Drosophila melanogaster: one gene and its partners. The main gene of each other region encodes a partner of the protein of the gene in region 3 in a complex. Each region holds a gene or a part of one and is shown on either strand. Other genes may lie near its edges. The genes, in order: FAM21, wash, CCDC53 and Strump.

The links.
Region 1: CCDC53 (region 3) and FAM21 share a complex: the UniProt entries of both Drosophila melanogaster proteins name them as parts of the WASH complex.
Region 2: CCDC53 (region 3) and wash share a complex: the UniProt entries of both Drosophila melanogaster proteins name them as parts of the WASH complex.
Region 4: CCDC53 (region 3) and Strump share a complex: the UniProt entries of both Drosophila melanogaster proteins name them as parts of the WASH complex.

Annotation. Positions count from the first base shown.
Region 1 is NT_033778.4:20,620,461-20,630,283, reverse strand, and holds FAM21 (family with sequence similarity 21), read right to left. Parts: upstream 6,738-9,823; 5' UTR 6,669-6,737; coding exon 6,567-6,668; intron 6,510-6,566; coding exon 6,315-6,509; intron 6,255-6,314; coding exon 6,115-6,254; intron 6,065-6,114; coding exon 2,092-6,064; 3' UTR 1,969-2,091; downstream 1-1,968. Other genes in the region: Rcd6 (reduction in Cnn dots 6), read left to right, coding at 19-258, 352-1,488; CG11180 (uncharacterized protein), read left to right, coding at 6,981-7,053, 7,110-9,217; CG9945 (uncharacterized protein), read right to left, coding at 9,536-9,676, 9,740-9,823. UniProt on the Drosophila melanogaster protein: Acts at least in part as component of the WASH complex which may regulate wash nucleation-promoting factor (NPF) activity and is required for its membrane targeting during endosomal sorting.
Region 2 is NT_033778.4:12,176,971-12,183,788, forward strand, and holds wash (washout), read left to right. Parts: upstream 1-3,522; 5' UTR 3,523-3,570; intron 3,571-3,652; exon of another isoform or gene 3,653-3,655; 5' UTR 3,656-3,730; coding exon 3,731-5,230; 3' UTR 5,231-5,403; downstream 5,404-6,818. Other genes in the region: CCT5 (chaperonin containing TCP1 subunit 5), read left to right, coding at 1-346; EndoG (endonuclease G), read right to left, coding at 571-1,503; CG8860 (uncharacterized protein), read right to left, coding at 2,617-2,823; CG13175 (uncharacterized protein), read left to right, coding at 5,826-6,251. UniProt on the Drosophila melanogaster protein: Acts as a nucleation-promoting factor by activating the Arp2/3 complex to induce actin polymerization. Participates in both linear- and branched-actin networks.
Region 3 is NT_033779.5:8,038,375-8,044,187, forward strand, and holds CCDC53 (Coiled-coil domain containing 53), read left to right. Parts: upstream 1-2,731; 5' UTR 2,732-2,774; coding exon 2,775-2,819; intron 2,820-2,878; coding exon 2,879-3,324; intron 3,325-3,384; coding exon 3,385-3,424; 3' UTR 3,425-3,505; downstream 3,506-5,813. Other genes in the region: RpL36A (ribosomal protein L36A), read right to left, coding at 3,614-3,751, 4,066-4,239, 4,449-4,451; Megf8 (multiple EGF like domains 8), read left to right, coding at 5,341-5,697. UniProt on the Drosophila melanogaster protein: Acts at least in part as component of the WASH complex which may regulate wash nucleation-promoting factor (NPF) activity and is required for its membrane targeting during endosomal sorting.
Region 4 is NT_037436.4:16,118,748-16,127,909, reverse strand, and holds Strump (strumpellin), read right to left. Parts: upstream 5,909-9,162; 5' UTR 5,817-5,908; exon of another isoform or gene 5,765-5,816; 5' UTR 5,724-5,764; coding exon 5,605-5,723; intron 5,549-5,604; coding exon 5,446-5,548; intron 5,387-5,445; coding exon 2,559-5,386; intron 2,499-2,558; coding exon 2,127-2,498; intron 2,065-2,126; coding exon 1,911-2,064; 3' UTR 1,858-1,910; downstream 1-1,857. Other genes in the region: Pgm1 (phosphoglucose mutase 1), read left to right, coding at 350-1,568, 1,635-1,773; Taf4 (TBP-associated factor 4), read right to left, coding at 7,838-7,996, 8,093-8,218, 8,279-8,452, 8,510-9,162. UniProt on the Drosophila melanogaster protein: Acts at least in part as component of the WASH complex which may regulate wash nucleation-promoting factor (NPF) activity and is required for its membrane targeting during endosomal sorting.

The DNA of each region.
Region 1 (9,823 bases), on a different chromosome or scaffold from region 3:
CTCGCTGCCTCGCTACAGATCGTCTATCTGGGTGCCTTCTCGTGTGAGGTCTCGTGGATACTGGAGGCCCACGGCGAGCTGCCCTTCGCCGCCTACACGCTCTGCTCGCTCTACTTTGTCATGTTCGTGGCCACCACGATCCTTATCCACGGCCTGGTCAGCGGACTCTGCTGGCCGTTGTTCGCCTGGTCGGGCATCATCGGTCTCCTCTCAATTCCAGAGCTGGTCTTTGTCATGATCATGACCACACAGCACTGGGTAAGTTGAATTTATGACTTCTTGAAGTAAAATGAAGTAACTAATTTATAAATGCTAAAACTACAACTATTCTAAATACGACTAAAACATTAGGGTCTGCAATCTGTGCATGGATTAACGGAGCTCACCTCCTACCTGATTCGCCTCATCATCAACTGCTTCGCGCTGATCTGTGTGATTCCCACGGGCATCAGGTGGCGACGGGAGACTCAGGTGTTGAGTCAGCTGCAAGGATTGGCCACCAGACTTTCCCTGCAGACTCCAGCGCCCAGTGTGCCCATTACAAAGGCAGATTCCCGGCGATCCAGCCAGCGGCTAAGTGGATTCGAGAATGCCGGCTACCAGCTGTGCGATGAAACAGCTTCCAAGTTGCCACTAGGGCCAGGAATGGGACTGGGCATGAACAACCAGTGTGGAGGCAGTCAAGCATTTGGCTCGCAGAACGAATTCAACGCCAGCATGTTTGCACCCGCATTGGCACAGCAGTTCAACAATGCCACGTTGATGCAGCGCGGCGGAACAGGCGGAGCAGGTGGTGGTCATCGCGCCCAGTCGCTGATGGATCTGCGCTGCACTCTGCCCGGCATGTACAATCCACGACATGTGCTCGATACGGAGGATAAAAACGCCAAGTACTTCAACATCACCATCGACGATTTGAAGAACAATCTCCACGACTCGCACCGACCATCGCCGCCTTCGCTGATCGGTTCCACCAGCAACGATCCCATCTACTGCTCCATTGAGCCCAAGCAGTTGACACCGCCACCGGCACAGCAGAGGAGCCACCATCGTCCACGCGGCACACACAAGCAGCCACCACCGGGTAAACTGTCCCGGAATTGCGTATCCCTGGAGAACCTTGACGGGATCAGCAAGGTGCAGAATGATCTGACCGCCTACGGGAACAATCTACTCCAGAACTACACGCAGCAGCAGCAGTATTACCTGGCCATGCTGCTTCACCAGCAGCAGCAGCAACAGCTGCACCACCAGCAGGCTGGCGGCATTTACCGCAGGCCATCCAATTGCAGCTCCACTGGCGGATTCGCCGGCACCGTGCTGGCCCAGCCGATGCAGCGACGCGGCTCCACGCACAGCCAGCAGATGCAGTATTACGGGGGCTTTGGCTATGCCAACTACACCAATCCGTACATCACGGCCAACAGCAAGTTGTCGCTGGGCAACGAGTCCGACGATTACCGGAAGTACCGCGATGTGGCTCTTTGAGTCCGTTTTTTTGGTTCTGGAAACCGGATCCCAATCGATCATCAGTCAGCGTTTAGGTTAAGCTCACTAGTTGTAGGATATGCTCGATCTAGAATGAGATTCCTCGGAATAACGACCAAAGAGCCACAAACTAACTCAGTTTCAGTTCGTAGACTAACGTTACACTGCGAGAATCGTATAGCGCGTTTATGCGCCAGTCAATTTGTAGCTTAAATGGGTCTGCATTCAGTTTTATTTGCTTTACTGAATAACACGACCTATTTGCAAATAAAAGTGTACTAAATATGAGACTCCATGGGGATATAATTTTATATGCAAATAAAAGTAATCGTAATAGTAAATATCACGAAATATCAGACGTACTCAAAAATATAAATAGATATTTCTAAAACAAACAAATATCAAAAAGCATACCCCCCCAATAAGAGAGGCACTGTATGAAAATTGCCCAAGTCTAGTTCTAAGAATCGAACACAAATGAACATTGACATTCATTGTTTATTATAGTTAATAGGAATACGAATAACAATACTCTGATCGACAGTCTAACCATCCACAGATCAAAAAGTGTACATACTTGTAATAAAAGGCGTAACTGTTTTCTCACTTGAAATCAAGAAGATCGGCCAATGGATTATCACCGGAGTTTGATGGAATGGTAGCAGTGGGCGTGGTGGTTTTACTGGCAGGTGGTTTACTTGCTGTCCTGGCCGCGGGTTTGGTCTTTTTGGCAGCAGCTGCTTTGGACGTGGAGCTTCCTCCGAACAGGTCATCATCGTCGTCGTCGTCGCTAAAGAGACTTTTGCTTGGTTTCACTGGCAACTTCTTAGCAGGAGCACTCTTTACAGGCACTTCGGCTTCCTCATCATCGCTGCTGAAAAGAGAAGTCGCCGCTGGTTTGGGGGGCTGTTTAGCTTGGACGGGCTTGCTGGCGGTTTGGATACTAGGAGCTCTGGCAAACAGATCATCATCATCGTCGTCGCTATCATCAAACAGTTTCGGCGCAGCCTGTGACTTGGGTTTAGCAGCCTCCTTGGCATTCGATGGTTTCGGAGGAGCAGTTGTGACTTTTTGAAAAGCATTCATGATTTCTGCTGCAAATGCTTTTTGCGCGGTAGTAGTTGCATTTGTTTTTACAGAATCAAATAGGAAATCATCTTCATCTGGGCTGGCCAAAAATGAGTTTGCCATCTTTGGCGGCTTCTTTTCTACTGGAACTACATTGATACCCGCCTTGTTATTTTCAAGATCACTGAAAAGCTTATCATCTGCATCAGGGCTGTCCAAAAACGAGCGATATGACTTCGGCGGATCAGTACCCTGCTTTCCCTCAACTGTTTTTGTCGGGACGGAATTAAAAAAGGAATCATCCTCATCGGGGCTGTCCAGAAATGAGCCACCAGTGTTAGATGGCGGCGGTCTTTGGAGCTGCGGCTGAATTTGCTGGGCTGGGGTTGAAAACAGCTTTTCAGGTTTAACATACTGAGGAGAGGGTGCCTTAATGGAACTTCGCTCAGAGTGTTCAACTTCTGGGCTATCTCTAGTCGAAGCTGTTGGGCCTTCATTTTGCCCAGCATCCAATAAGCTTTTGGCATAGTTTTCCTTTCTTCCTCTTCTGGTAGATGGTCGCCTTTTGGCAGGTCCACGAGCGCGAGATTTGTTCACATGCTGCAGGACACCGTCTGCAGAAGAAACAGTGTTTTGTCCAGAACTTGGTGCCTCAGCCTCAGTCTGAACTGTCGCTTGAGGTTCATCTCTCTCGGAACTCGATGATTCTTGTTTCCTGATCAGCTTTGGCACGCTACCAGAACCCGGAAGAAGGGCATGTACATTGATGTTAATATTAGGCATTTTCAGCTTCTTAACGGGCGAAGTGGGTTTCTGCAATTCAGGCGTCTCCTTAACTTCACTACGATCAGTTTCATCAGCTGGCGGTGGCTCGTCATCGAAAGGGAAGCGTTTGGGCGCTGGCTGCACTGCTCCTGCCCTTGCAGTCTCACTGAAATCATCGTAGAAGATTGTGTGTATTCGGGTGGTTGACGCTAGTTCGTCCTTCTGAGGTTCAGCTTCCTTCTGCACTTCTTCGCCTGCATGATCGTTATCTTCGGGTGGCACATCACTAAACAAGCACATGGCACCGTAGTCAGACGACACAGAAGGTTGATCCCCCGGCGTCACTGGAGATGGCTTTGTCGCACTGGGAATGTTTGGCAGAGCGGGTTCGAAGAAGTCGTGCTCGTTGTCAAAGATTTTGGAGGCACTTAGGCTGCTGAGACCGCTGCTGCCAAGCGTTTGAAAGAATTCACTGTCATCCGGCGGTTCGTCGGAAAAGAGATTCGAGTAATTTTGCATGATTTGCTGCGCAGCAGCCAAATCCGCCGGCTTTCGCGGGGTAAGTGTATCCACTGATGTTTTATTGGTGACATCAGCCACCATTGATATAATGGGATCTACGTTGCTTTGATAATCGTCTGGTGGTGGAGTTTCCGAAACGGGTTCATCTATTTGAGGCTTACTTAACATTTCGGGCACCAGTTCATCCTTTTCAACGACAGCTGTTATTTCATATATTTTGTTCTCTGGCAGTTGCTGTGGCAATTCTTCTGCTTTAATCTCTTTCACCAGCTGCACCTCAGATGGTTTTTTAATATCTTCGTTTTCTGTACCAACTAATGGCTCATTCTTGGACATAGATGCACTCAAAAATGTATCATCATCGCTAAAATCTTCGTTAAACAAATCAGTTGGTTTGATAGATAGTTTTGTAGGAGGATTCACTGGGGATACATTTTCCTCAGTTTGCGAAGTATATTTTTCAATTGGTTTGTTAAATTCATTAGTTTCATTAGCACTTTTTGGCTCAGCCATATTATTTGAAGTACTAGAGAATAGCTCATCGTCGGTTAAGTCTTCACTGAACAAATCTTTAGATTTGGTAATATTTGCTGCTGATGTATCATCCTTAACCGCCTCCCATTCTTTATCATCAGACTTTTGTTCCGTAACTTCCATGGGAGGAGGTGAATCTCTGAGAATAGGCACAGATGCATTTTCTGCTATTACTTGATGCTGCTTTTCTCCAGTTTCTATATTCTTGGATTTCTGTTCTGCAATCTCACTTTGTTTCTTATCTTCTCCAACTGCTTCAGGATCATTATCTGGTTCACTTCTAATTAAGTTCTTAGCCTTTGGGGTTCCAAACAAATCCTCATCTTCAATATCATCAAAGAGACTTTTCTTTGAAGCTACAGGTGTTTCAACATTTTTGTTGGGCGAAACTCCCGAAGACGTCTCCTTTGGAATTACCTTTGCCTTTTTCGAACCAAACAAATCAGTGACATCATCTTGATCATCGTCTTCAAACAAACTTGTCTTTCCAGCTACTCTTTCAGATAGCTTTTTCGGTTGAGCAGATGGTTTCGTAAATATATCATCGATATCCAAATCATCATCATCAAATAAGGAGGGCTTTGGTTTTGAGAGCAGTTTTTGTTCTGGTGGCTTTGCTTTGGGCGTAAAGGAGCTCAAGAAGTCGTCGTCCTCCAAGTCATCATCGAATAGAGATTTGGTTACCGGTTTAGGTGGCTTTTTGGAAGGATTTTCCTTTGGCATGGCAGGAGAACTACCAAAAAGCGAGTTATCTTCATCATTATTGGCCACTACAACTGGACTCCGTTTTGGTATTGCACCCGTTGCTTTAGTATTATTAAAAACAGGCTCTGACCTCGGAGTTGGACTCAATGGAGGACTGTCGTCGAAGAGGTTTACACGTTTTGGAACTGTCTGCTCAACAATCTGCTTTGGCGGCCCTGGCTTTGGATATTCTTCCACGGGTTTTTTAGTTTTGGGTGGTTCTTTTGTTGAAATTGTCGTTGCTGGGGAGACGGAGCTGCTGGGTGTTTTTGACTGGACTTTGTCCACGATTTCGGACATGAAGGATTTAAACTCATCTTCGTTAAAAAGATTAACTGGCATGCGCTTTGTTTGGCTTGGCTTGATCTCAGCCTCCTTCGGAGTTTGGGTTGAAACAGCTTCGTCGAAGAGTCGAGGAGGTTGTTGGGCAGGACTACTGCTACTGGAACTAAGCGATGCAGTAGATACGATTGGAAGGCGACTTGATGGATTCCTAAAGGCTGGTGAAGATGTAGGCGATGACGATGTGGATGGCGGGTCGTCGCTAGGCGGCGATTGCCGGAGGGCAGCAAACATGTCCCTCTCATGTGGATTCCTTTGACTGTTTATAATTGGACGCGGTTGTGTTCTGATGACAGGCTCTGCTACCTGAACAGCAGGGTTAATGACTGGCGACACGATTGCCGGTTCCCTGGCAAACGAGGCTAGGGAAGAGGAGTCAGACAGATGCTGTTCTTCTAATTTGTTCGCTGGCGTTGCTATTTTTTTGGTCTCGGGTTCCTTTTCGTCCGATGAGCTTGAGGAGAATTCCTCGGATCTGTCATCTTCACTATTCTCCTTACTGTCATACAACCCGGCATACTTGTGTTCCTGCCACTCTTTGGTACCAATAATATAGGGCAAAGGTATCGCATCATAGGGATTCTTAGCACGGAATACGGTTCTGTGGAAAGTGGAGTTAGTATGGATCGGAATCGTAGTGTAGTCACTTACGTTGAGTGGACGGGGCCATCCTCATCATCCGAATCGGGCACTTCTATGGTCACCGGCTCGTAGTTTTTGCGGAACATACGAAGGTTGTTTTCCAGAAACTCCTTTGCCAATTCCTCGGAACTCTTGAGCGGCAGCTCTGGCTGCAAGCATATTAAGATCTGTAAACACAGCAGCCTGCAAAATTCCATCGCTTATTGCACCTTCTTTTTCTTCTCTTCGGGCATGGCCAAATCTGCGTCATCCACTTCCTCCACCCGATACTCCACGAACTGATTTCCAAACTGCAGGGATCGCAGGCTGGTAGTGGCATTGTTCAGCGCTATATCCACTTGCTTCACGCTCGTCTCAAAGTCTCGCAGATTGCGGCTGGTCCTTTCGCCCCTTTCTTCCAGATTCTGTTGCAAAAATTTTATCAAATTGGCTTGTTATCTATGCACGTATGTGAATTTAACCTGGGAAATGCGCTTCATCAGCGCCAGCAGAGCACAGTCGCCCGCGAAGGTCCAGTCCGGAGCCTGGGCTATTATCTGATCCACATCCGCGCTTATATCCATTATCAGTCGACTGCAAGCTCGCAAGTCAGAAAATAATAACAACTAATTAAGAGCAACAACAACAAACTTAGTAATGACACCCAAATAGAGATGAGCGATAGTTAATCACCTGTTATCAGCGCACAGCCAACGCTCATCCCTAAGCCTGCTGAGCAGCTGTTTCGACAATCGCTATCGATATATCTTGTTTAAACTTGCTATCGATATTTGATAGCACGTGTTGGGTTGTTCGCAATTTACGAATTGTATCTTTGTTAGTTATCCGCAATTTACATTTAAAACGAAGTAGATTATAAATAATTATAGACTAAAATGGCTATGCTGGCTGAACCACGTCGGCGCAAAAAGTACAACTTGTGTCCGCGCGGCAAGGCTCTCTATGAAGGTGAGCATTAAACTCCAAATGTGACTGGTAAATCGTAAATTCTTAAACTTTAACAGATGAAAATCGCTTCGGTACCAAAATGCTGGAGAAAATGGGCTGGACGAAAGGCAGTGGCCTGGGCGCCAATCTGAATGGCGAAAAGGATTTTGTGCGCATTCGCTTTAAAAATGACGCAGAAGGATTGGGTTTCGAGCAGCGCGATGATCAGTGGACTGTACACGAGGATGGCTTCAATGGGCTGCTTAAGTCGCTAAATGGGGAAGATAGCGGCGGCATAGACAAAGAGCCGGAGTCCGAAGAGGAGGCCAGACCTATGGGCTTTGGCTTCAAAGCCATTGAACCGGAGGAGCCGTCTAAGAAGAAACTCAAGGAGAACACCAGTGGAATGTCGCTGGAGGAGCGGTCGAAGCAGAGCAGGGCACGCGTCCACTATAAGAAGTTCACACGCGGCAAGGACTTGGCTCTGTACAGCGAAAAGGATCTAGCCAATATATTCGGCAAGAAGGCAACTGAGGACGTCGAGAGATATCCAGAACCCGTGCTGGCTGTCCAACCCGAGGAGCCAAACCCCAACTTCGCTGGCGTGCAGACAATTGTCACGGGCCTGTCGACCACTGATTATTTCAAGCAGAAAATGGAAGCCATGAAAAACAGACTAAAGAAAGGCTCCCAAGTTGAAGACAACAACGAGGCACAGACCAATGGTCATGCTGAAAAGTTTGAACAGATTTCAGCAGATAATGATGAAGTGACTTCCAAGAAAAAGAAAAAAAAGAAAGACAAGGAGAGGGCAGACGAGCCACCAACTAAAGAGGAAGAACCAGAGCAGGTTGCTTCCATGCCTAAGAAAAAGAAGAAATCAAAGCGATCATCCCTTGATGAAGAAAAATTAGTTGAAAGCGAAGAAAGGACTGACGAGCAACCCACTGCTGTGGAAGAAATCGAGCAGGACGCTCCCAAGCTTAAGAAAAAGAAGAAATCGAAGGGATCGTCTCTCGATGAAATTGAGCAGTCGGAGAACAACTTTGTTGAGGAAAAATTAGTTAAAAGCAAAGAAAGGACTAGCGAGCAACCAACTGCTGTGGAAGAAATCGAGCAGGACGTTCCCAAACTTAAGAAAAAGAAGAAATCTAAGCGATCGTCTGTCGATGAAACCGAGAAGACGGACAACAACTGCGTAGAGATGGCGGAAATCACTGAGGAAAGTGAAAGGACTTCCTCCAAAAAGAAAAAGTCCAAAAAAGAGGAGGAATCAGCAGAAGTGTCGATACAAACAGAAGAGAGTGACCAAAAAAAGAAAAGAAAGTCAGATAAAAATAAGGAGATTGCAGAAGATTCGATAGAAGAACCAGCTGCGAAAAAAAAGAAAAAGTCTAAGAAATCCGACGAAGTAATTGTAATCGATGATGACGACTTACACAGAAATAATGAATCGCATACTTCGAATGAAAATAGAACTAAAAATAAAAGTAAATCTAAGGACAGTCAAGAAACCACTCAAATTCAGGAAGAAATTACCATAGATTTAACAGCCGAAGCTCCGTCTAAGAAGAAAAAGAAATCCAAGGAAGAGAAGCGTAAGGACAATGATGAAAAAGATTTAGAAGAAACACCTCCCGCCTCGGAAGCTACTGAAAAGAAATCGAAGAAGAAATCCAAATTAAAATCGTCTGCGGAGCCCTCGACTAAACTGGAGATCACCTCATTTGCGCTCGCCGTGGAGGCGGCTGTCGATAATCGAAAGGACACAGGAGGCGAAGATAGGAACGACGTAAGTGCTGACAAGAATAATTCCGGCAATAAAAGCGTTCAGTCAGCCGATGAAGACCTGCCTAAGGACCTCTTATCCCTGGAAGAGATCCAAGAAAAACTCAAATCATTCAATCATTTTAATATCTCTAAATTCTGTGCAGACCAATTTCAATTGTTCGACATGAGTGCGTTTCACAATTCGTCGCTGGGCGAGATCGTGGGCTACGGAATCAGCGAAAACGTCGAGCTAAATGTGGTGGACTGTCCTTACGATGAAACGCGCATTCGCAACCTTTGGAAAAACAAAGCCGTTGAGCATTTTAAAAGCAAACAGCATAGCAAGTATCCGGTAAGGGTGCAAAGAACTAGCATACGAGCGGTCAAGAAGAGAGTCGCCTTTCAAGGAATTTAGATCGAGCAAACGAAATATATTTCAACGTGATTCTTATTATGATTGTTTTTGTACATAAACAACTTAAGTAGGTAGTTGGTAAGCTTCATGGTTTACATTTTAATGTACTGTTTTGTATAACACGCTAACTAATTAAACTGAACTATACATTTCAAGTGAGTGACATATTCTTCAGTCTTATTTAATAGAACCAATTATCCCAGCCGGCCCGACTGTGGTGAATATTCTCGTGCGTCGCTTAGGCAAGCCACTATGAATGAATGTAACGAAATGTAATATCAAAGGGGACCTTACTAGCTTATACTCTAAACCTTACAACTAGTCCGGTGTAACATTTCGATTCGCCAAACGTCGTGATCTTCTCAGGGGCTTTTTGTCATGATCCGAGCTATGTGATCGCTTTACCGGACGATTGGCGTTGCTGCGGCTGAAGTTGTTCAGGTGAACATGGGTGTCCCACTGCGTAGGCAGTTGAGTGTGCATTATTATTCAGAGGAATATTACTCATATTTCGATGCTTACCGAGCCAGACACGATTTCTGAGCGATCCGGATGCCAGTCCAGATCTCTTATCACAGTCCTATGTCCTTCAATAGCCTCTTGAAT
Region 2 (6,818 bases), on a different chromosome or scaffold from region 3:
TAGCTGCTCGTTGGCTGTGGCCAAGGAGGCCGACCAACTGTCCACGCTGGAGCAGTACGCCTTCCGCGCCTTCTCCGTGGCCCTGGAGAGCATTCCGCTGGCTCTGGCGGAGAACAGCGGCCTGCATCCCATCGAGACGTTGTCGGAGCTGAAGGCCAGACAGGTGGCCGAGAAGAAGTCCAGCCTGGGTGTCGACTGCATGCTGTCGGGTGATTCGGACATGAAGAGCCATAACGTGGTGGAGTCGCTGCACTCGAAGAAGCAGCAGATTCTGCTCTCCACGCAGCTCGTCAAGATGATACTCAAGATCGACGACGTGCGCTCCAAGAACGAAGGCGGCATGTAACGACCGCCCAGCAGCAGCATCATACATCAGATCTAGTTTCAGATTCACATCCCCACGCTTCGCTATCTCTTCACGAACAACACCCGCGTCAAGCCTCATCTCTATGTACATCTGTATTAATTGTTTAATTTTATTAATCCACAAGTTCTTTGGAAAAGAAGAAAATTACATTAAACAAGGGGCTATCCCTGTTCAAATACACTAAAACGAAACTAAGACATCGACTAGACTTTCTTGCCATTGATGGTGGTTAGCTGCTTGCGATTGATTTGATCGAAGAAGAGCAATCCCGCCGAGCGTTCCACGCTCTCTGGCGGCACCTGAAACACACTGATGGGAGTGTCGTTGCTGATCACCTGATTGGGCATCACGTACGACTCCATGTGGAGTTTGTGGTCCGCGGACTCGCCCACAATAACCTTGTAGAAGTGGGTGGGAACAGCCACGGTGTTGGCGCCGATGACCTCGTACTTGACATACGATTTCCCATCGTCCTCCTTGTGCGGTAGGTACAGTGGACCCGTACAGACGTACACATTGGAGTAGGTCTTGGTCAGTCTGCGCACGTGTGCCTCCAGCGTGTTCCAGGCATCCCGGTTGAAGCCCTGGCCCACCTGTGGCGCCATGTTCGATAGGTAGAAGGTTTCGTCGCAGTGCTTCTGGTGCAGTCGGTGATTTCCAGCGGCGGCCATGTGCCCGCGATCATAGCCCGATCGTCGGTAGTCCGTGTTCTGTGACCTGAAGAACGGATGGATGCTCTCGTCCTGCTTGAAATCGCACTTCGATCTGTCCACGGCATCGTTCTTCGCCACCGACTCTGCCGTAAGGTGCTCGAACACCCAGTGGGGCACCCGGTTCCTCCGATCGTAAGACAGCACGTAGTCCGAATGGGAGCGCACGTGATCGAGTCCGGGAAATCCATACTTCATGATCTGTCCGATCCGAGACGGAGTTGCCGTCAAGCTTACATTGTTCTCTTGGGCGGGAATCAAACTGGCAGCCGAAACAGTTCCAAAGGTGGGCAGACCAGGCAGCCGCGGAAGGCCACTTGTGGAGCCATTGTGCTGGCGTTCGCGTTCCACGTGGGTGCCCAGATAAAAGGCGCCCAGGGCGGTGGCACCCAAAGCTAATACGCCACCCACTCGAGGAGCACTCATTTTGGCAGTTTTATTTAAAAATCTGGACAAAAAGACCAGATAGCGACCGCTATTGCACAATTCAGGTACTTTAGTGTGACCACAGTTTAAAGTGGTCGAACGAACTACAGTGAAAGACATAAATATATGCACGGATTGCTAAATTTGCTTGGGAAAATAAGTAAGTATACTATGTATATTTCATTAATGTATTAATAACTTAAAAAGGCGACGTGTGAGCTTTAACCGTAGCCCAAGTCGCAAATGGTGGTACTTACCAATTCCATATAGATAGATGGGCTTCGTGAACAGCAAGATATCCGAGCTCGAATAACTCGTCGTGGCAGTTCAAAATTCCAGGGCTGGATATCCCCTCGTCTTATGTGCTCTAATACACACTCGGCGTGTAGCAGGTTGTAAGAAATTCGCGTTTAAAATCAAATAACTTAGTGGGCGCTGCCATGTTTTAAAATTTATTCGATAACCGATCCCCGACTTAAAAGGAAAAGTGTGACCATCAATTTATAAAATTTAGCTTATATTTTGTAAAAAAATTGTTGCTTCTTTGTTTAGGAATTTTTAAGAAAAAGCAATTGTGTCGCAGAACAAAACGATGGCTAAAACAGTAATTTTAAAAAGGCATACAACACATATAAAATTATTTTTAAGGTTAAAGAAAGATTTTTATAACAGAATTAAAATCTTCTAATTTTAAAGCAATATTAGGCGAACCCAAATACATGCCATTGTACAATGTAGAATTTAATGTTAAATCATCTCTATGTTAAAATAACAAAATATAAACATTGTCAATTGGAAGAACGATTCAAAATAAGCAACTCGACCTAGATGAATGAAATAGTACAATACATGCCATTTTGTTGCTGAATGATAAGCTAAGATTTTGTTGAATTTTGGCTTAGTTGCATTCGGAAATATATTTACAACATTTTGAGCACACCCTCCAAGCACCCAATTTATAACCAGACTTTCTTATCTCAAACCCAAGCCAAAGATATTACATTGTATTGTGTGTATAAAATCCGAAGAAGGGGCATTTATTTCGCTAAAGATGCGCGTGGAATCGTGAACTACATGTAATCTCTTTCCGGTCCGGGGGCCACCTGCCGCTTTCTAGGATCCCACGATGATGTTGTTAATGGGAATGTGAATCAGCTTGACGAAGAAGCCGATGAAGCCCATGATGGCGAAGCCCACGGCGGTGGCGATGGCGATTTTCTGGAACTCCTTGCGGTCGGGTTTTGTGCAGCGCTTCACCAGGCGGATTGAGTCCTTGGCGAAGGCGCGTCCGGGTTCGGCGAATTTGACAACCTTGTCCATTTTTGATTTGTGAGTATTTAACTAAGAATTACCAATGAACTGAATTGATATTTATTTTGCTGCCGTGTCGCTTCTTGCAGTGTTACCAAGTTCCTCAGCTCAAAACATACTAAAAATTAACGCCTTTCCTTTAGTTGTTAATAAATTTTTTTTTTGGTTGAAATATAAGTGTATTTGAATTATTTTAATTTATTTTGAGTTTTTCTTTAAATTGAACCCATTCAATTATTACTTTGAAGCAAATCATTTAATGAACAGTTTTTAACAATTGATTTGGGCACACTACCCTACCCTAGCGTCGATGGAGGAACGGTGGATTTTTGAACATATGGACGTTTTCTATTTATTTATTTTTTCGTCATTTGGAAGTGAATTCCAAATTCCGTGCTCCGGAATGGCGTGCTTATAGGCTTACATTTGCCTAATTTAGTAATGATCCTGAATAAATGATCCCCTGATTAAAAAAGTTCTCCTAACAGTGGGATGAGTTTGAAAGGTATTTAAAAATGCCGCCTTCTCTAGTAGAAGTACTACAGCCGATCCGTGTCCTTAACTGCTTTATTAACAGTAATAGTTTTGGGAGACACCGCAGTTTATCTGAGGGTTAGTTTATCTGAAGGTTAGTTTGTTTCCTGGTGGTTTGTTTATCTGGTTAGCTTATCTGGGGTCTAGTTTACCTGAATGATAATTTACGTGGGAGTTAGTGTAACTGAGGGTTCAGTTGACTGGTGTTTCGTTTAGCTAGGGGTTAGTTAATCTGAGGTTTCGTAATTTTAAAAGAAATCCATTTAATTATTACTTTGAACCAAATCATTTTTAACATCTTGTAAAGCTTTTAGAGTTGGTCACACTACCATGAACAGCAGTAAAATTGCAAATAAATATGTAATTATTTGGCGATAGAAAAATGGAGGAGTCACCTTACCTGCACAGCCCCTACCAGGTGGCCATTATAGCCACCGACCTGCACCACGAGGATACCATAATCCAAGCAGCCCAGTCCCTGGACTGTCTACACAAAACCATAAACTCGATTTTCGAGCGAATCGATGCCCGCTTGGCGAGAAATGGTTCAAAGGTTGAGGACATAAACAATCGTGTGAAGCGCGCTCAGGCAAAAATCGATGCGCTCGTTGGCTCCAAGCGGGCCATCCAGATCTTTGCACCCGCCCGCTTTCCGGCCAGCGACGTCCTGGCACCGCTGCCAGCCACCTTTCCACAGGTGGCAGCCAATCCCCTAATGGAGCAGCAAGTGGACCAGCTCCCGCAAGGGACGTACAGCAGTCACAGTGCCGCGGACCAGAAGCCGGATGATGCGGACATCTTTTTCCATGTACGTGGCGATCGGGAGCAGGAATCGCCACTGGTCGCCGAACGGAAGATAACCAATCGGACCGCTGGCCTGGGCATCCTGCCTGCGGGTGGAGTGCGCTCCGTACCCTCGCTCATGCGATTCAATACCAATGAGTTCGCCTACGGCGAGGATCTGAATGCCTGGAAGCGATCCCTACCGCCGCAAAATGCTCGACGCGTTGCCAGTCAGTCCACTCAACTCACGGGAGAAAAGCAGCTCGCTCCGGCACCTCATTCGCTGGCCCACGGCACCACCAAACTGGCCACTCCAGCTGGGGACCTGCGCTACAATCCTGCTGCTTTGGCTGCACCCGCCATTGATGTTCCGCTGGACCTGCCCGACCTACCGGGCATAGCGAATGATCTGCAATATGAGCCAGTGGAGGAGCAAACACCAATAGCGCCTTCCCAGCAGTTCGGTGATTTACCAGAGCTGCCGGATTTGGGCCTCGAGGAGCAGGATATAATAGTGCAAGCCATCGCGGCACAGACGCACATTCCGGGACCGGTGCGTAGGAAGAGTGTGGGACAATGTCCTTCGCCAGTTACGGCGGCACCACCGCCTCCTCCTCCGCCACCACCGCCGCCTCCACCTCCTCCACCAGCGCAGACGAGCGCAATTCCATCACCGCCACCCTTTCCCACCAAAGGAGCTGTGAAACCGCTCTCCCCGTCGTTAGCAACACCTCTTAACATGCCGCAGCCGCCTCCAGCTACTGAAGATCCGCGATCTGAGCTTATGGCCGCCATAAGAAACGCCGGTGGAGTGCATGGCGGTCGTCTGCGGTCGCCTGCGGCTGCGCCGCTCGACGTGGTGGACAACAGTCGCTCCAAGGCGGGAGGCGCTGTCACGGGGGATTTGATGGCAGACCTGCATAACAAGCTAATGCTGCGACGCAAGGGAATTTCTGGGAGCCAGAATCCCGTGGAGGCCACTGCTGGCAATCCCCTGATGCAGCAGCTCTCCCGCGTCATACCGCCGCCGGTGCAGCCCCGCAAGGGATCTAAGTCGAGTGACGAACACTCCGAGGACGACGAGGATGGGTGGAACTAGTGAATATTTAGCTTTAGTACCGGTTTAAGTGCCTTGGCTGGCTTAAAGCACTAGCAACCTAGGTTCTCTAGCTTAAAGCATACAAATTTCTAAAACGAATTCCAAATTCTGTGCCCAAGCGAGCATGCCAAATTAGGTCAAAGTCAACCAGTTGAATAAAACTACATATTAGCAGAAATGTGTGTAATTTCTTATTGAGAACATTGGCTAACTTTAATTGATAAAATTACAGGACAATGAAACATTTTGTGATGCTAAATGAAATAAAACAATTCTTTATACTGACTAAAATAAACTCGATATTAAATTATAATAAAACACTAAATTCTAGTTTTAGATAACAGCTATTTTCCTATTTGAAATAAACGAATTTCCCTGTTAAATCCTTAACAGCGCTGTTGTGTTGCTCTCTGCCAGTGCTGTAAAATGCCGCAGTGGAATCACATTTCGGGTAAAAACAAATTGAAATATCCACCGAATTTAAATATTAAAGTTAGAGAAGCTGCCAAATATCTGGAGTTACAATCAGGGACAAGGACAAGGACTACTACACTAGAGGAGAGCTTTTACAAGCAATCCGGTGAAACCACATATAATGACAAGTCCGTCGCGGGATATAAACGATCTTTTTGACGATATTGTCCTGACCGAGGAGAAGGAGGCACGTTTGGGCTACGAGGAGGGACTGAAGGACGGCCAGGAGCAGGGCAACGAAGAGGGCTATAAATTGGGCTACGCCCAGGGAGTATCCCTAGGCGAGGAGCTCGGCAAGATTCTGGGCCAGGTGGTGGCCCAGCAGCAGCTGAAACACACGGACAAGGTGCGTCGCAGCTTGGAACAGTTGCGTTCGCTCATCGAGGAGTTTCCCCGCACCAACGATCCGCAGGCGGACATAGTGGGTGCTGTGCAGGACATTCGCTCCTCCCATCGTCGCCTTCGCGCCCAGCTGGGATCCAAAAAAACGCCTGGTGCAGCGCCTGCAGAGACCAATTCTGTCGAGCACAAGGACTACAGCTTCTAGCCTTATAGCACCATGTCCAAGGTGGGAGTTGTGCAGTTGCAGAGGCGTCTGGATGGCTTACTGGCCTTCCTCAATCCGCACTGGGATTTTGTCAATTGCCACATGGTGAACTACTTGACGGACCAGCACTGGGACGGCTTTTTATCCGAAACGCTGAAAAGTGAGATCGCCGGCAAGGAAGATGTGGCTCTGGCCATAGAAGACCTATTTTGGAAAACTGATGAATCAGAAAGGTTTCCGGCATGGCGAGAATTCCTAGGCAAGAGCAAACAAGAACGCCTGTCGCTTCAGAGGGTCAGGGGAACTCCACGCAGCTAAGCATTCGGGAGTTTATGAGCGCCAAAAAGTGCCATGAGGTAAGTAAACCAACCATTTTAAATGAGAGTATTTTAGGAATTGATTAATCTCTCCGATTAGGTGGATCTAACAGCCGTTCTCGTGGACCAGCTTGTGAAGAACTCCGGTCAAGATTGCTTCATTGTAGACGCGGGCGATGGCAAAGGGTATTTATCCTCGCGCTTGGCGCTCCAGTATGGTCACCGCGTGCTCGGCATCGATGCGAACGCG
Region 3 (5,813 bases):
TACATTATAAATATACTATACATATAAATCTAATTATACTTCAACCGAGAACAACAACCAATTATATGCATACAATAATAAGAAAGGGAAAAGAGAACACAACATAAACATACAAATAATTGCTAAAAAAAAAAAAAAAAAAACACACAAACAAAACAAAAAAAATTAAATAAATTCAAAATGAGAAACGGCATTTCGAGCAGAGCAAACAGAGTCAAGTAAATGTAACAGACGAGAGTCGCGTAATCTAGTAACGTAATTCTAAAGCAATGCATAATAATACGGCAAATAACCACAAATAAGTGCAACCCACGGACATTATGTATTTGTTCAAAATAACAACGTAGCAATGAAAAAGTTTGATCTTGTCGTGGATCTTTATTTTGCCCACCAGTTGGCGGGATCAACCCAAGATCGATCCTCTTTTCGGTTCTAGTTTTAATAGCACTTGCACAGCGATTGTTCTTAACCAAGTCGGCCTATATAAATCAGTCAGACTTCCTGTACATTTTATATACATACACAAACCACACATATATATATATTGAAACTTATTCTATGCCCATGGCAAATCTTGAATGTGGAGCATCTGACATAGGCACTCTCGCTGTGCAAGTGCCAGGATACACACGTATCCTTCGCTGCTGGCGAAGGAAAGTGTATTGAAACATTTACGTAACGATTAAAACGATGTAGACGATCAAATTCTGTAGACTAAGCAAGGGCATATACATACATATAACCAAACAATATAACCCGACCCCATATTAGCGAAAGAGCGAGAAAAAATTGTAAATTAACATTAATTAGAGGACAGTCGAGGTGAGACTTTGATGAACGGCGGCCGGGTTTATATACGCAGGTAGCAAGTCAAAACACACACACACACGCGAAAATTGTATTTAACAATTGGTACATGCAGAATGCTTATATAATTTCAATTGTCATTACCAAGGGGAGTACGCAATGCTTGATGGATTAACCACGACCATGTGAGGATGAGATATAAATAATAACTGCAGGCAAGCTATAAACGTATGCTAAGCTATTTATTTAATTTATGCCTAGTATTAACGAATGAAAGAAAGTTACAAACAAACAAAACAAACAAAATGTTGGCGCCAATCGCTGATCCAATGGATTTCGTAGTTGAATATAAATAGATTCGCTTACCATGGATGCGTACTCGTAATTTTAATCAAGTAAATTAATAACACGATGAATGAACAGATTTAGATATGTGACTTGAACGTGAACGCCGAGCAACTCAATATTAGTTTTTAGTATTACCAATTATTATTATATTATTATTACAAATTACATTTACGTGAGCCTTTCACCGACCGACACTCTCCACAAACCTTAAAAACACCCAAAAACTTGATATTCGAAACCGACGAATCAGAATCAAAAACGATTGCGATCTGTGTACACCAAGCAAATCCTCTATTATTTAAATTACGTATTTTAATTTACGCCTTAGTTGTTACAATCGAGAATCCGAATCGCCTTTTGGATTACCGCGGTGATCCGAAACTCTGATGAGCCGATGATGAATGATAATGGTAATAATTAAAATAGTTGTGGACGACCATCGGGGGCAGCCACTCACATATACATATATATATATATATATGTATATATATATACATAAAACTATTGATTTCTAATTTTAACTGTAAATTCTTGATTTTTTATTACCGTGTATTTTTATTTTAAATAAAGTTTTACAAAAAGAAGCCCTGTGACTTGCGTCTGCCTTTTGATTTCTCACAATTCTCACAAACAGCGCACAAACTATTCAGATTCAGTGATGAGAACGTTGTAGACCAGCTGGTTCTCGTTTGCAACGGTGGCAAAAGTTAATAACTTTCACTTGGCATTTTCATTTTCGAACCGTTCTCGCTGCTGGCAGCATTTTTGATTTCTTAACTCAGTTTTGCGAACTACACCGCACAGAATTGAAAGCATTTTCGTTTCTACAAACCATTACAAATCCACTGCCGACAAACACAAGCTGCACGCATGCGTTTTGTTTCAACAAAGACCGAGAATTCGGATCAGCAATGAAATTCTCAAAAAAAAAAAAATTGCTAACAAAAAGTAATGTAATTCTCCAAACAAATACAAATACAAATAATAAATAAAACGCGGATCCGATTTGGCATTCCAACTAATACTTAAGCCGCAGAAAGCGACGCCGAGATGGGCACGATAAGCATTATTTAACTAAGTCAAAATAAAAGTTCATTGTAGATTTGAGCATAGTGAGAAGGTCCCAGGTCCTAATGGAACACCCAGCACATAAGTTTATACATACATATATAAATAATAATGTCAAAGGAAATGCATATTAACTGAACGATACTTTTATAATAAATTGACGAAGAAGTGCATAATACTCGGAGAAATAACATTCACACATTTCATGTTAAGATACAATAAAGTGAATAAATAAAATATTTAAAACAAAATGGTGGATTTGTTGTTGAATGGGTTTCTAAGCTATAACTATGTATTTATGTATATTATTCGTTTTTTTTCACTTTAAAAATGAAATTTCAAAACATTTAAATATGCACACAAGTTTTTTGAAAGAAACTTCAGTTCTATTTCATTTTTAAACTAGGCGCCAAGTTAACTGTGTTAAGTTACGTGAGAAATACCAAATTTTTGGATCAGCTTGATGTTGAGCGAACAATATTTAGTATCGTCAGTCAGCCTGGCAACCCAGAAAAGTACTAAAATAAAAGACGGCTGGTGAAAATAAAATAATGGATGCAACTGCAGCAATCACCGGCAATGTGGACAAGACCCAGGTATGGGACTTATATTCAAGGGTGAACTGCACCTGCAGCTCTCAACTCTGTTCCTCCAGATACCGCCGCTGAACCAGAAACGCATCCTGGCCTTCGTTAACCATTTCCTCGTCAGCACCTGCACCTTTCTAAATGAATTTGCCCTGGGCTGTGAGACGAAGTTCGTGGAGATGGAACGGCAGCTGCAGAAGACGGAGGCCGCCCTCATCATCCTGGAGGCCAAGCTGGCGTCTATACCCACCGAGCACCATGTAGCGACTGAGGCTACCGAAGCGCCAGCGATATCAAACCAGCAACGCAACGAAGAAGCATCCATGGTGGACACCACGGAACCACCGACCACCGAGAATCCTACGGAGCCGGAACTCCCGCCTGAATCGGTTGGTGTGCGCGCCTGTGAAGATCAACGTTACAGAAAGTTCTTCAAAATGGTGCAAGTGGGTGTGCCCGCACCGGCGGTTAAGCAGAAAATGCAATCCGAAGGTCTGGAGCCGCGTATTTTAGAGTAAGTTCCGTGGAGAGGTTTGGCCAAATTGAAAGCTCATCAAGCTCATTTCCATTGCAGCACACCCGATCTGATCCTGGCGGATGGCCAGCGAGAGTGAGCTGCCTGGCGCAGAGCGTGATCTGATCTTGTGATATAGCACATGTTGCTACACCTTGCAATTAAACATTTTTTAAAGCTTACGTCTACAAGTTTATTTTGTTTTATTTGCCGCCGTGCAGCGACGCGAAAACAACATAAAACCACTTCGTTAGCGAAAAAAGGATTTTTAATGGTGTAAAGAAGGTGCCTAGAACTGGATCATCTGTCCCTTGCGCTTCTTGTCACCGCCCAGCTCGAAGTGCTTGCAACGCTTCAGGGGAGTCTGCTTGCGGTATTTGCACTCGGTGCACTCCATACGCAGCACAATCTTCTTGGTGGTCTTGGCCTAAAATGGAATTAGAACTCCAGTTAGCAAGCGGCATACAAATGGTGGTCATGAATTCATTTGGATTGTCTGAAGTTGCCGGTGGGGCGTTGTGGGCATGGATGCCACACAACGTTGCCTTCACGGCCGCACCAGTGCAACAACAGTTTTGATCTGGCACAGTTTTTTCCCACCAAAAAGCATAATGCTCAACGAGCGCAGCGATTTAGTTCTACGAAGCGCCATTCCAGGGATTCCAATCTAGCCGCCATTAGTGTCGATGGCAATCCGGCGGCAAGCGATCCCGGTAGCATTAGACGAATGGGGGCACTTACCTTCTTCCTGAAGATGGGCTTGGTCTGACCTCCGAAACCCTGCTGTTTCCTGTCGTAACGACGCCTGCCCTGAGCTCCCTTGCGCTCCTTGGACTTCTTGTACTGCGTCACCTTGTGCAGCTTGTGGACCTTGCACTTCTTGCAGAAGGTGCGGCGTTGTTTCGGTACGTTCACCTGGAAAACACACAAATCCCATTAGTACAAAATTCCTTGGGCAGCGACACCGAATTTTTAAGCCGAACAGCAACGCACTTGTTGGCCGTCGCGATCCGCGATAGACCACTCCTTGGGTCAATCATTTCGGTATTCCCGCTCTTTTGGCGGAATCACTTAATTTCGGGCATAACAATTGCGGATGTTCAACGATTTCGGGAAACGCTTACCATCTTGATTTCGTGAAGGCGAAAAAAGAAGGAAATCACATAGCGATGGCAGCGTGCCGTCAAGCCATGCGCTATCGATAGGTTTTCGTTTCATTGTTGTGACTTGATATGCATATCGATGTTTGTATAGTTCTTAAGCACTGTTTAAACTATTTTCTACTTTTTGAAGTAAAATCAATTGTTTTTACATTTGTTTTGAATGTGCATATATTGAAACTTAGTACAGAAGAATACTATTATTATTAGTTAATGAAGTTTGTAAACGCCTTATCAATTAGGTATACCATGTTTGTTTGTTTTATGTATTTTTAGTGTCACGAAACTTTATCTGCGAACCTACGTATAATACATTTTTGCCCCACATTAATTATTTTCAAGTAATTTTTAATGTTCATGGAACTGAATGCTTGGTTTTTTCATCGATCTCCACAGAAATATGCTAATAAAATGACAAAATAATATATTTCATATATAATATTTCGATATCTTAACGGTCACTTGATGCTGAGCGCTGCCAGATCAATCAGATTTTAAGAAAATACCAAAAAGTGAAAGTGGCATTGCCATCGAGGGCGAAACATATGTTTTGTTTTGCTCGCGACTTGCAGCGATAGGCGGCGACAAGCAACGTCGTTATCGAAGACCGATAGGGCCCGATACAAAAAAAAAATAAATCGAAATATTTTCAACAATTTTCTGTGGAAAATAATTGGAAATATAGCGAATCTCCAGCAGCCGAAACCGGATGCGCTGGTGGCCCGGGCCCAGCGGCAAGTCGTGAGCAATGGCAGCAGCCAGCGTGCGCTGGCTAGAGCAAATCTAAACGGCCAAAACGGCAACCAGTTAGATAGCCAAAAATTTGCATAAAAAGTGAGCGATTAAAATGCAGAAAATGTACGCGTTGCTAGCAACCTTGACATTCTGGACGCTGGTGCTGCAAACAGAGCAGGCCCACCCGTCCACATCGCCGTCGGCGCCATGCGATCGCAGCCGGAAGGTGTTCACGGAGCCCTACGGCGAAATCTCCGATGGACCCTCCGGCTTTAACTACACGCAGGACTCACATTGCGAGTGGCTCATCAAGGCGCGCAATGATAGCCAGTACATCACGCTAACCTTCCACAGCATGGGCACCGAGTGCTCCTACGACTACATTTACGTCTATGATGGCGACTCCTTCAACTCGACGCTCCTGGGGAGCTTCAGTGGACGCACCCAGCCCCAGCGACTGGTGGCGCGCAGCGGGAGTGTAAGTTGTGTTTTGCCTTGACGAGTGGTTAAATATATAGGATCTATTTGTGGAATAAAGTTATTCAAAAACTTGCACAATTAGAAACCCGGAATATTTTTACCATTCATGACCTT
Region 4 (9,162 bases), on a different chromosome or scaffold from region 3:
TTGATTTAGGGACTCGTGCAATCGCTAATCAGACTAACCTTTAATAAAATTGTATGGTGTAATTACTTAAGCGAATTTGATATACAAATTTGCTTTTAATATCTATCTTATACTAACAAAAGACCATCTGTCAAGCTAACATTATTATTTCGCATTATAGAAGCAATATTGCAAAATCTCTATTATCTTAATAATATGAAATATTTAAATCTAAGCTTTTGTTGTACTTACTCAAACAGTTTATTCACATTAAAGGTGGCCTCTTTGGAATATAAAATTGTTTTAGATGCCTAGGCACACCCAACTAAAAAATATACACGATTTAAAAATGCTTTTTTAAACCTTATAGGCGGCATTGTTTTGACTGCATCCCACAATCCCGGTGGTCCAGAGAATGATTTCGGCATCAAGTTCAACTGCGAGAACGGAGGACCTGCCCCGGATGCGTTCACCAACCACATCTACAAGATCACCACCGAGATCAAGGAGTACAAGCTGGTGCGCAACCTGCAGATCGACATCTCAAAGGTTGGTGTAACCTCGTTCGACATCGCCGGAAAGCCCTTTACCGTGGAGGTGATCGATTCGGTGGCCAACTATGTGCGCCACATGGAGGAAATCTTCGACTTCGCCAAGCTGAAGGACTTCGTAAGTGGCAAAGCCACTGGAAAGCCTCTGAAGATGCGCATCGATGCAATGAACGGAGTAACTGGCTCATATGTGCGCGAGATCTTCCTGAACCGGTTGGGTGCCACCGAATCATCGGTGGTCCACACCACTCCACTGCCCGACTTTGGTGGTCTGCATCCTGACCCAAATCTCACATACGCCAAGGACCTGGTTGACACTGTCGCCCAGGGAGACTATGACATTGGAGCTGCCTTCGATGGAGATGGTGACCGCAACATGATCATTGGCAGCAAGGCGTTCTTCGTAACTCCCAGCGACTCGCTGGCGGTAATTGCCCACTACCTGGAGGCCATACCGTACTTCCAAAAGAATGGTGTTCAAGGATTCGCCCGCAGTATGCCAACTGCATCCGCTGTGGATTTGGTGGGCAGAAAGTTGGGCAAGGAAGTGTTTGAGGTTCCCACTGGATGGAAGTACTTCGGTAATCTCATGGACGCCGGAAGGTTGTGTCTGTGCGGAGAGGAGAGCTTCGGAACTGGCTCCAATCACATCCGCGAAAAGGATGGCATCTGGGCGGTTCTCGCTTGGATCTCCGTGATGCAGCACACGGGTAAAGGCATCGAAGACATCCTGAAGCAGCACTGGTCTGTGTATGGACGCAACTATTTCACCCGCTACGATTATGAGGAGTGCGCTTCCGATCCTTGCAACGAGATGGTGGCCACCATGGAGAAGACCATAACTGCTCCGGAGTTCGTCGGCAAGAGCTATTCCAGCGGCGGAAAAACCTACAAGGTCAAGGAGGCCGACAACTTCAGCTACACAGATCCTGTCGACAAGTCGGTGGCCACGAAACAGGGTCTGCGCATTGTGTTCGAGGATGGCAGCCGCATTGTGGTGCGCCTCAGTGGAACTGGAAGCTCGGGAGCAACCGTTCGGTGAGTCACGATGAGATTTAATATCAAACAATTCTTTTCAATAATAGATGAATTGTTCCTTTTCAGCTTGTACATTGATTCCTATGAGAAGGAGAATGTTTTGGGCCAGGCCAGCGTGATGCTGAAACCCTTGATCGACATCGCCCTGGAGATCTCTCAGCTGCCCAAGTTCACTGGACGCAACGCTCCAACGGTTATCACGTAAAGAGTTCCTGTCAGCGAAGGAACACTGAGATTACCAACCCATCCAACTACAATCTCCTCTTGTACCTCAGCGAGGCATTTCCTTGTTATGTTTCGGATTTATTAAAGTTTGTGTAGCCCAAACCTGTTGGTTAGTTTTCATTTTAGCAGTGTGGATAAATACTCGTACTCGCTAAGTATTATGTTGGGAATGCGCTGCTCCAGAACTCCGAGTGGCAAACGAGCAATGCGTATAAAGGCTAGAAGAAAGTGCAGGGCGGTGACCACCTCGGGACCCAGGATTTCTTTATCCCTAATAAAGAAAAGTGTATGTCATCTGATATTCGTGGATTATCTTGTAACTAAAGTACTTACAGTAACTGAGCCTCCGATACAGTCACCACGTACTGACTCATGTAGGATATATACAGCATCTTGACATTCTTGTGGAACTGCTGCAAGATCGTTACTAGACCCACAATAAAAGGCACATTATCAATGTTATCTTTGGCTGATTTTGGCAACAGACAATCGGTAATCGTGGAATGCTGCATACGACCCAAATGGGCAATGGTGAAAAGAAACATAAAGAGGGCCATGTTATGGGTGTTCTTTGTGATAAGGAAGACTTGCTCTAGGGGCTCAAAGTTTCCCGTATAGAGCAGGGTTTCCTGCAGTTCTGTCAACATGACCACACCCTTTTCATCACAGAGATCCTTGCTGAGAGACAGTTCTAGTAAAAGGGCTCTGTTTGCGGAAGAGATTGCAAATATATAAATATTTTTAGGATGTTATAGTTTGACTTACTTGTTCAGGGTGTCCGCCGTGTTCTCCAGCAACTTGGCATCACATTTACTGCTAAAGCTTAGCTCTCCTGCAATTTCTCTGCGGAGCAGCTGCTTCTGTCCAATGCACAAAACCCAATCCAACAGCGTGGGCCACACTTTCAGCCATCGTTGGGTGTAAGCTTGATAATACTTCAAAGGCTGCTTGGACACCTCCGGAGTTGGGAAGTCCCGGGCCTCCAATTCCCGAGTCAGTGCCGCTAACGTATCCACCCACATACGATCCGAGGTCAGGTTACGCTGTAACCGTTCCAAGTTGCGCTTTAACTCATCAGCCAACATGTGAGCGTAGAGGCGCTCCAATCCCACCATTCCTGCCGGAGCCAAGGCTTCTCTAAGTATCTCAAAGAATCCAGAGCCGGCAAGAACTTCCTGGTGAGGAGCCTTCTTCTCATACCAAGTGCTTTTTAGATCCAGAAAAATAGTTTGCTTGGGATCTGTGCACCGCAGAATTTCGTGGGCCAGACGGCCAATGAAGTTGTTAGACGGATCTCCCAACAGCGGTGGAAAGTTGGGAATGGGTATGATCTGGCTCTGGTGCTCCGATTGAAATTCCTGCACTTTGTTGCGGAGGAAGGCATTGCATTCCTTCTCCACATTGTAGTTAATAATGCGTTGCGATTCCTCCAGCAGGATTCGAAGTCCCTGAACTCTTAAGTAGTCCTCTATATATTCGAAGGATCTTCGATATCCCTCTATTGTTTTCGCCAGAGCTTGCAGTTTTTGTTGAAGAAGCTGCACAGGAGTCTTGCCTTTCTCGGGCGTAAATATTAGGCCCAGATTGTAGGCATTTGCCAGATGATTTACAAGCTCCTTGCGTATCCCATCCTCCAATAGTTGTTTAGGATCCAGCTCGATTACTCCCACTAGAGTTGTTTTCATCATAAGAATTCCCTTCGTAAAAACAGCAATGGAGTTTGTAAGCTGAGCCACCTTGGCCCGCTCCTCAAACTGGGCATAGTCCTTTAGACGCTCCTTCTCCACTTTAGTGGGAAACTCCTTGATAACATTCGTAAGGAGATAGATGATCTTAGCCAGAATACTGAACATGGTCTCTGGAACAATTTGCAGAACGCGGCGCAGGAAGTTTGCTAGCTCGGTGCTGTAATAGTTTGACACAGAGACCAGATCCTCGCTTCTGGCCTGATTGATCCGCATCAGCGGCACCTCCAGGGTGCTGGCCAACTTGAGAAAGACCGCTCGTATACCTATTACCGCCTGTGGCTGTCTTTTGATGTGTTCCTGCATGGGAGGAGTGAAGTCAAACTGCAGTAGATGCCAAGCATAGCTGAAGTCAGTGATCATCTGGATGTGAATCTCAATGTCTTCCTTCAGGTTTATTAGCTGTGCCATTTGATTGAGCATGTCTCGCGTCTCCTGTAGTTGCTGCTTCACCAGCATGTTGGAATGAAGGTTGTGATACTCCTGCACATCGTCCAGTGCTTGCATCACCTGAATAATCAGCCTTCCGGACTTTTGGGGCCTGCTCAATTCCAGTTTCTGGAGACGTCCAGCAACTTCGCCAAACCATTGCTGCAACTGAGGATTCTGTTCAATCTTGGACAAAGGCCTGGAGCCGGCAAAGGCTTCGCTCAACTCATTGAGCCTTTGCATGGCCTCCTCTCTGCTTTTCGTCCAGCGCTCCTCCTTAGTCTGCTGAATCTCTGCCAGGAACTCCCTCACGCTCAGCTCCATTTGGCTGCAGTTAAGCAGTAAGTTATACAGCGTATTCCGATTGAATTGTAGTTCGTGGAGCACACATTTTTGCACTTGACCCGTCAAAGTAGCTGTGTGAGCAAAGATGAAAACTTCCCTTGAGGTGTGCAGGCAAAACCAGCGGAGCAGGACATTGGATTGCCTCATCAGGTGTATGATTTTGTTGGCGTGCTCCAAAACAAAGTTGTCATTTAGAACTCCTTCACGAACAATCTCCTGGGTTTTTTGAGTGATCTTGCCCAATTGCTCCTTTTGCTGCTGACAGAGTGCTTTGATTGCCGGTGGACTTATCACATTTTCAATAGCAGATCGAGCGGCTTTGAAATCCAACCAGGCATCCACCAGATTCACTGTCATGCCCATGTACACGGATATGGTCCAGTTGTCGCAAAAGAACTTGTCCACAATTTCGCGCATCTGTGAGCCTTGGGAATGAAGAACTTGCGGGCAGAAATACAAGCACACATACAGCATGGCCGCCTGAGTAGACAGAGCCGTGGAGCGATGGGCAGGATGTGGATACAGGTTCAGTTGGTTGTATATATCATCGCACCGCAGACGAGCCACCACTAGATCCACGAAATTCTCATCGAAACGGAAGCGAGAGAAGTAGGCCTCCGGGTATCGGGGAACCACAAGGCTAGCAGCTCTAGCGCCTGCCTGTTTGCCACCCAAACCGAGCACTTTAGCGGCAATCGACGGATGAACATAGCCCGTAGATCGGAGCAGGAGACAAACATCATGGATATTACTCTCGTCTCCGCTAGGCGTTGCATCTCCTCCACTATACCGATAGTAGGCGATCAGCAGACGTTCTCTCACATCCCCCGGAATGTGAAAATCGACCATGAGGAGAATCACACCAAAGAGATACAGGGATTCGCAGAGCAGTTGGCGGCCCTCCTCCTCCTGAAGTACCGTCTCCAGCGTCTGCTGGATATAGTAGCCAGTGTTCAATTCCTCGATATATTGCTGGAGATCGGAGGCATAGTGATGGATGCTCTGGAAGGCCAGGTAAAATCGTGTGATTAGCGGAAGCTGGGCACGTGCCTCATCATCGAGTTCGGTCAGTTCCTGAAGGAAATCAGGGTGTTTAATACGGTGTGGTCTCGGGTATATTAACATCAAATTACCGGACTTTGTTCGATCCTCCTCTCGTGATCTTCGGCTATCTTGAAGTAGCTGAAATCCAGAATAAGCTCGCCATATTTCGCCTTATCAGCTTTGTTGTCCAATCTGGGGAGGAGTGGTCACCAATTATTCATTAATTGCAGGTTTTTAATCTATGTTACCTATAAATACTGGGCACGTAGTCCTTGAGGCGCAGGATCTCTGCTATTATAGAATTACCCACCGACACTATATTCAGCAGATTCTGCCCACAGGCATTATTGTCATCCAGAAAACTCATTATGCATTTCCTTGATTTCTGTGATTCTAACAAATGCCTCTCTGGAGAAAGCTTAATTTGTATAATCACATTATTAATTAAAGCTGTACATACTTTTTATCAGTCCACGAATTATGTTATTGTTTGTTTATATTGTCTATTCATTTAGTCATATCAATTCTTTTTTGCACTAGTGTATTATCTGCAGTAATCTTACATAAGTCCGGTCACACTATTTTGTTGTTATAGAGTTACCATGAACTTCGAAATGTTGGCGCATAAATTTGAAGTGAGAAACTGATGATAACAACCTATGAGGTACATAATTTAATAACAATTATTAAATTTATTAAAATGAGATATGAAACTACTATTGTATTGAATAATAAAATTATAATATTGGCTTAATAACTCTATTCGATGCATTAAAGTGCAATAATGATGGAAGATCTAATGGTTTCCGACTTTAGATTCACGATTTCAATTTTAAAATTTAAAAAAGAAAGCAAGTTGTAATACGACATTAAGAAAATTGCCAATTCGTTATGTGTTTCTGGTTGAATCCAAACGTGAATTTGGTTCTATTTATTTTGTGTTAGATTTTCATTCTATGGGAGCTACACAAAGTTTCAGTAGGATTAATTAACATAATAAATGAATATAAAAATATTAATAAAATTAATTAATTCAACTACATAAATTGTAATGATTTAACTAGCTAATTAACTGAGATACCGTTACATATTCCATACGACATAAAATAATAATATGCATAAGCAAACACTGCGCACTAAAATAAATTCTGCATATTCCCAGCTAATAATTCTCCGTGCTCAGTTGAAGTTTTCTCAATTTTTTCTTTTATTTTTTTGCTTAATGTTAAAACATAATAATAATAATATATATATATTCAGTTATATGCCTACCAAACTATGCGCTGTTTACGGTTGCATCTGCATTTTGTTTATCATATTAATTTTTACACACAAAGAATTTGCTTAGAATGGTTTCACTTTTTGCTTAGGTTTACTGAATTACATCAATTGTTGTCAATTTATTTGTTATAATTTTTTTACGGGACTCTATTTTACAAGATTTATCGAGCTAATTGTATAAAATTTGTCTATTTTGTGTGTAGTTCAGATTGGATTAGGGGATTTATGGATCTATGGAGCCTAATGAATCGCCATTCTTAATGGATGAACGAGCGCCACTAATAAAAACATATTTTTTCGGTGTGCCAAGTTGTCTGCGCTCGCATCGCTCCTTGCCATCGATAATTTGTTAATTACGTTTGCGTTTTTACCTAGTTATCTATTAGAAAAACCGTAGCCTAGAATGTATTTACAATTTGTTGGGTTTGTTGTGGTCTTGCCTAACGATTGATTTCCGTTTATACATTATGGGTAATTAAAAATTACATCTTTTTTAAACAACTAAACCTAATTCAATGGATGTTTAAATGGATATTTTTCGGTTCTTTTTTTGATGTGTTCTTTTGTTTTGCTGTTGCTGAACTTGTTTCGATCTAGTTGGTTTTAAAAACCTTTATCTGTAATTCGGTTTCGATTTCTCTTCACGCGCCCTTGCTTTTTACTTAAAATCTAGGAATTATGGTTCGTTTTCGTTTAACAAACTAAGCTAAATAATTAAATATTAATAATTATGTTTATATCGTTTAGATAAGGCCGTCAATGCAGTTGATGCAAACATTATTATGTTACAAATTACAAATCAAACGCCCGCTGACTGCGCGCTCTCTTTTACCTTCTTTTACTTTCCTCTCTATTATTTTATTCTCTTCGTTTACTCTGGTTTTGTTTTGTTTTTGGATTGGTTTGGTTTAAGTTTTACAGAGAATTTATTGGAAAAATAAACGAGCTTTAAATTAGGCTTAAAATCAAATACGATTAGAATTTAGGATTTATGTAAATAAATGTAAAAATAGAAATTAAATAGAGCCGCCTAACTAAAAAGAAACAACAACAGGGGACACGCGACGCATTTAAAGTTGAGGCTAAAATATATTGCAAGTGGATGAAATCGTAAAGCTGTATAAAACAACAACACGACAGTCCACGGAGTAGGAGGATCGGCGAGGAGAAGACGGTGCGATTGATGGGCAACAGCAGCGATCACTTGAGGTATGTCTTGAACAGCATGGAACTGCGACAGAACTCCCGCTCTTGCTCCATGTAGAAGAGCATGTCGCGCAGGTTCACACGTTTTATGCGAGGCCGTAACGTCGTCGGCGCAGATCCCGAGCTGCTTAGCACTCCGCCGCCACTTGAACCCTTTTTGGATAAACACAGCTTAATTAATAACCGTTCTGGTAGTCAACTATCCTAAATTTTAGACACTATCTTTTTGTATAATTGCACCATACATACCGCTCCCGAACTGACTGTTTCGCCGTCTAGCTTCAGCTTTTTCCGAGGTCCAATCGCCTGCAGCGCCGTCAGATTGGCATCTCGTTGACGCAACTCCTCCATTTCGGCGCGTTGCATCTCCTTGGCCTAAACAACAAGAGAAAGACTTAAGTAAACGGCTACAGAGAAAGACGATTGCGAACACACCCTCGCCTTCATCTTGGCCTGCTCGGGATCTTCCACCCTCGACCGTGACTTGGCTGCCCGCAGCAGCATCTCACGCTCCAGTTCCTCGTGTCGCTTCTGCTCGGCCTTGTCCAGCTCCTCGAGAAACTTGATCTGACCGCGCACATCCTTGGCGGGCTCATAGCGTGGATCCAACTGTAAGAAATAGGAAATCAATATTTTCATTTGAATATAAAACCATTTCCAACAAACCTTGATGACATCAATGCGGTGCTCCGCTATCACAGCCAACTTCTCAACGATGTTCTTCAGGCGCTCCTGACAGGCGTGCGATATCAGAACGGCCACATCCTGCGACGGCTCATCCAGTCCCGCCTCCGAAGTAATTGCCCGTATTCTAGCTTGCAGCGAGGGGAGATTGAGAAATACCTCATCTTTGCAGGATCGAATCTGCGTGCCGATGTTTTCGGTACAGCCGAGAATTCGCTGCGACTCCTCCGCCAAGTTAACACCTCCCATGGCGGCAACATCGTTGATATCATCGTCACCGTACATCGAGGACATGGAGCTCTGCTGGAAAAACGAGTTCGCAGCGGACGCCGCTCCTCCGCTCGATGTGTTCAATTTGGCGTCCATTTCCATGGCGTCGCGTTTCTTTTTGCCTATCGCCTTGTTGATCGCAGGCGGCGGCCTTGCCATCGTCTTGGCTCCAATCGGTGTGAGAGATGCGTTGATCCGCTCCATGTGCGGCGGATGCAGCGACGGCGCCTTGATCTCCACCAGTTTTGCATCGAAGTGATTGCTGTTGTGGTTCAGCGAATTTTGCATCTGCTCACGGGCTCGAAGAGCTTCGGGGGGAAGGTGGACCGTGGGTAACGATGGTATGGGCAGCGTTGTGGTCGAGG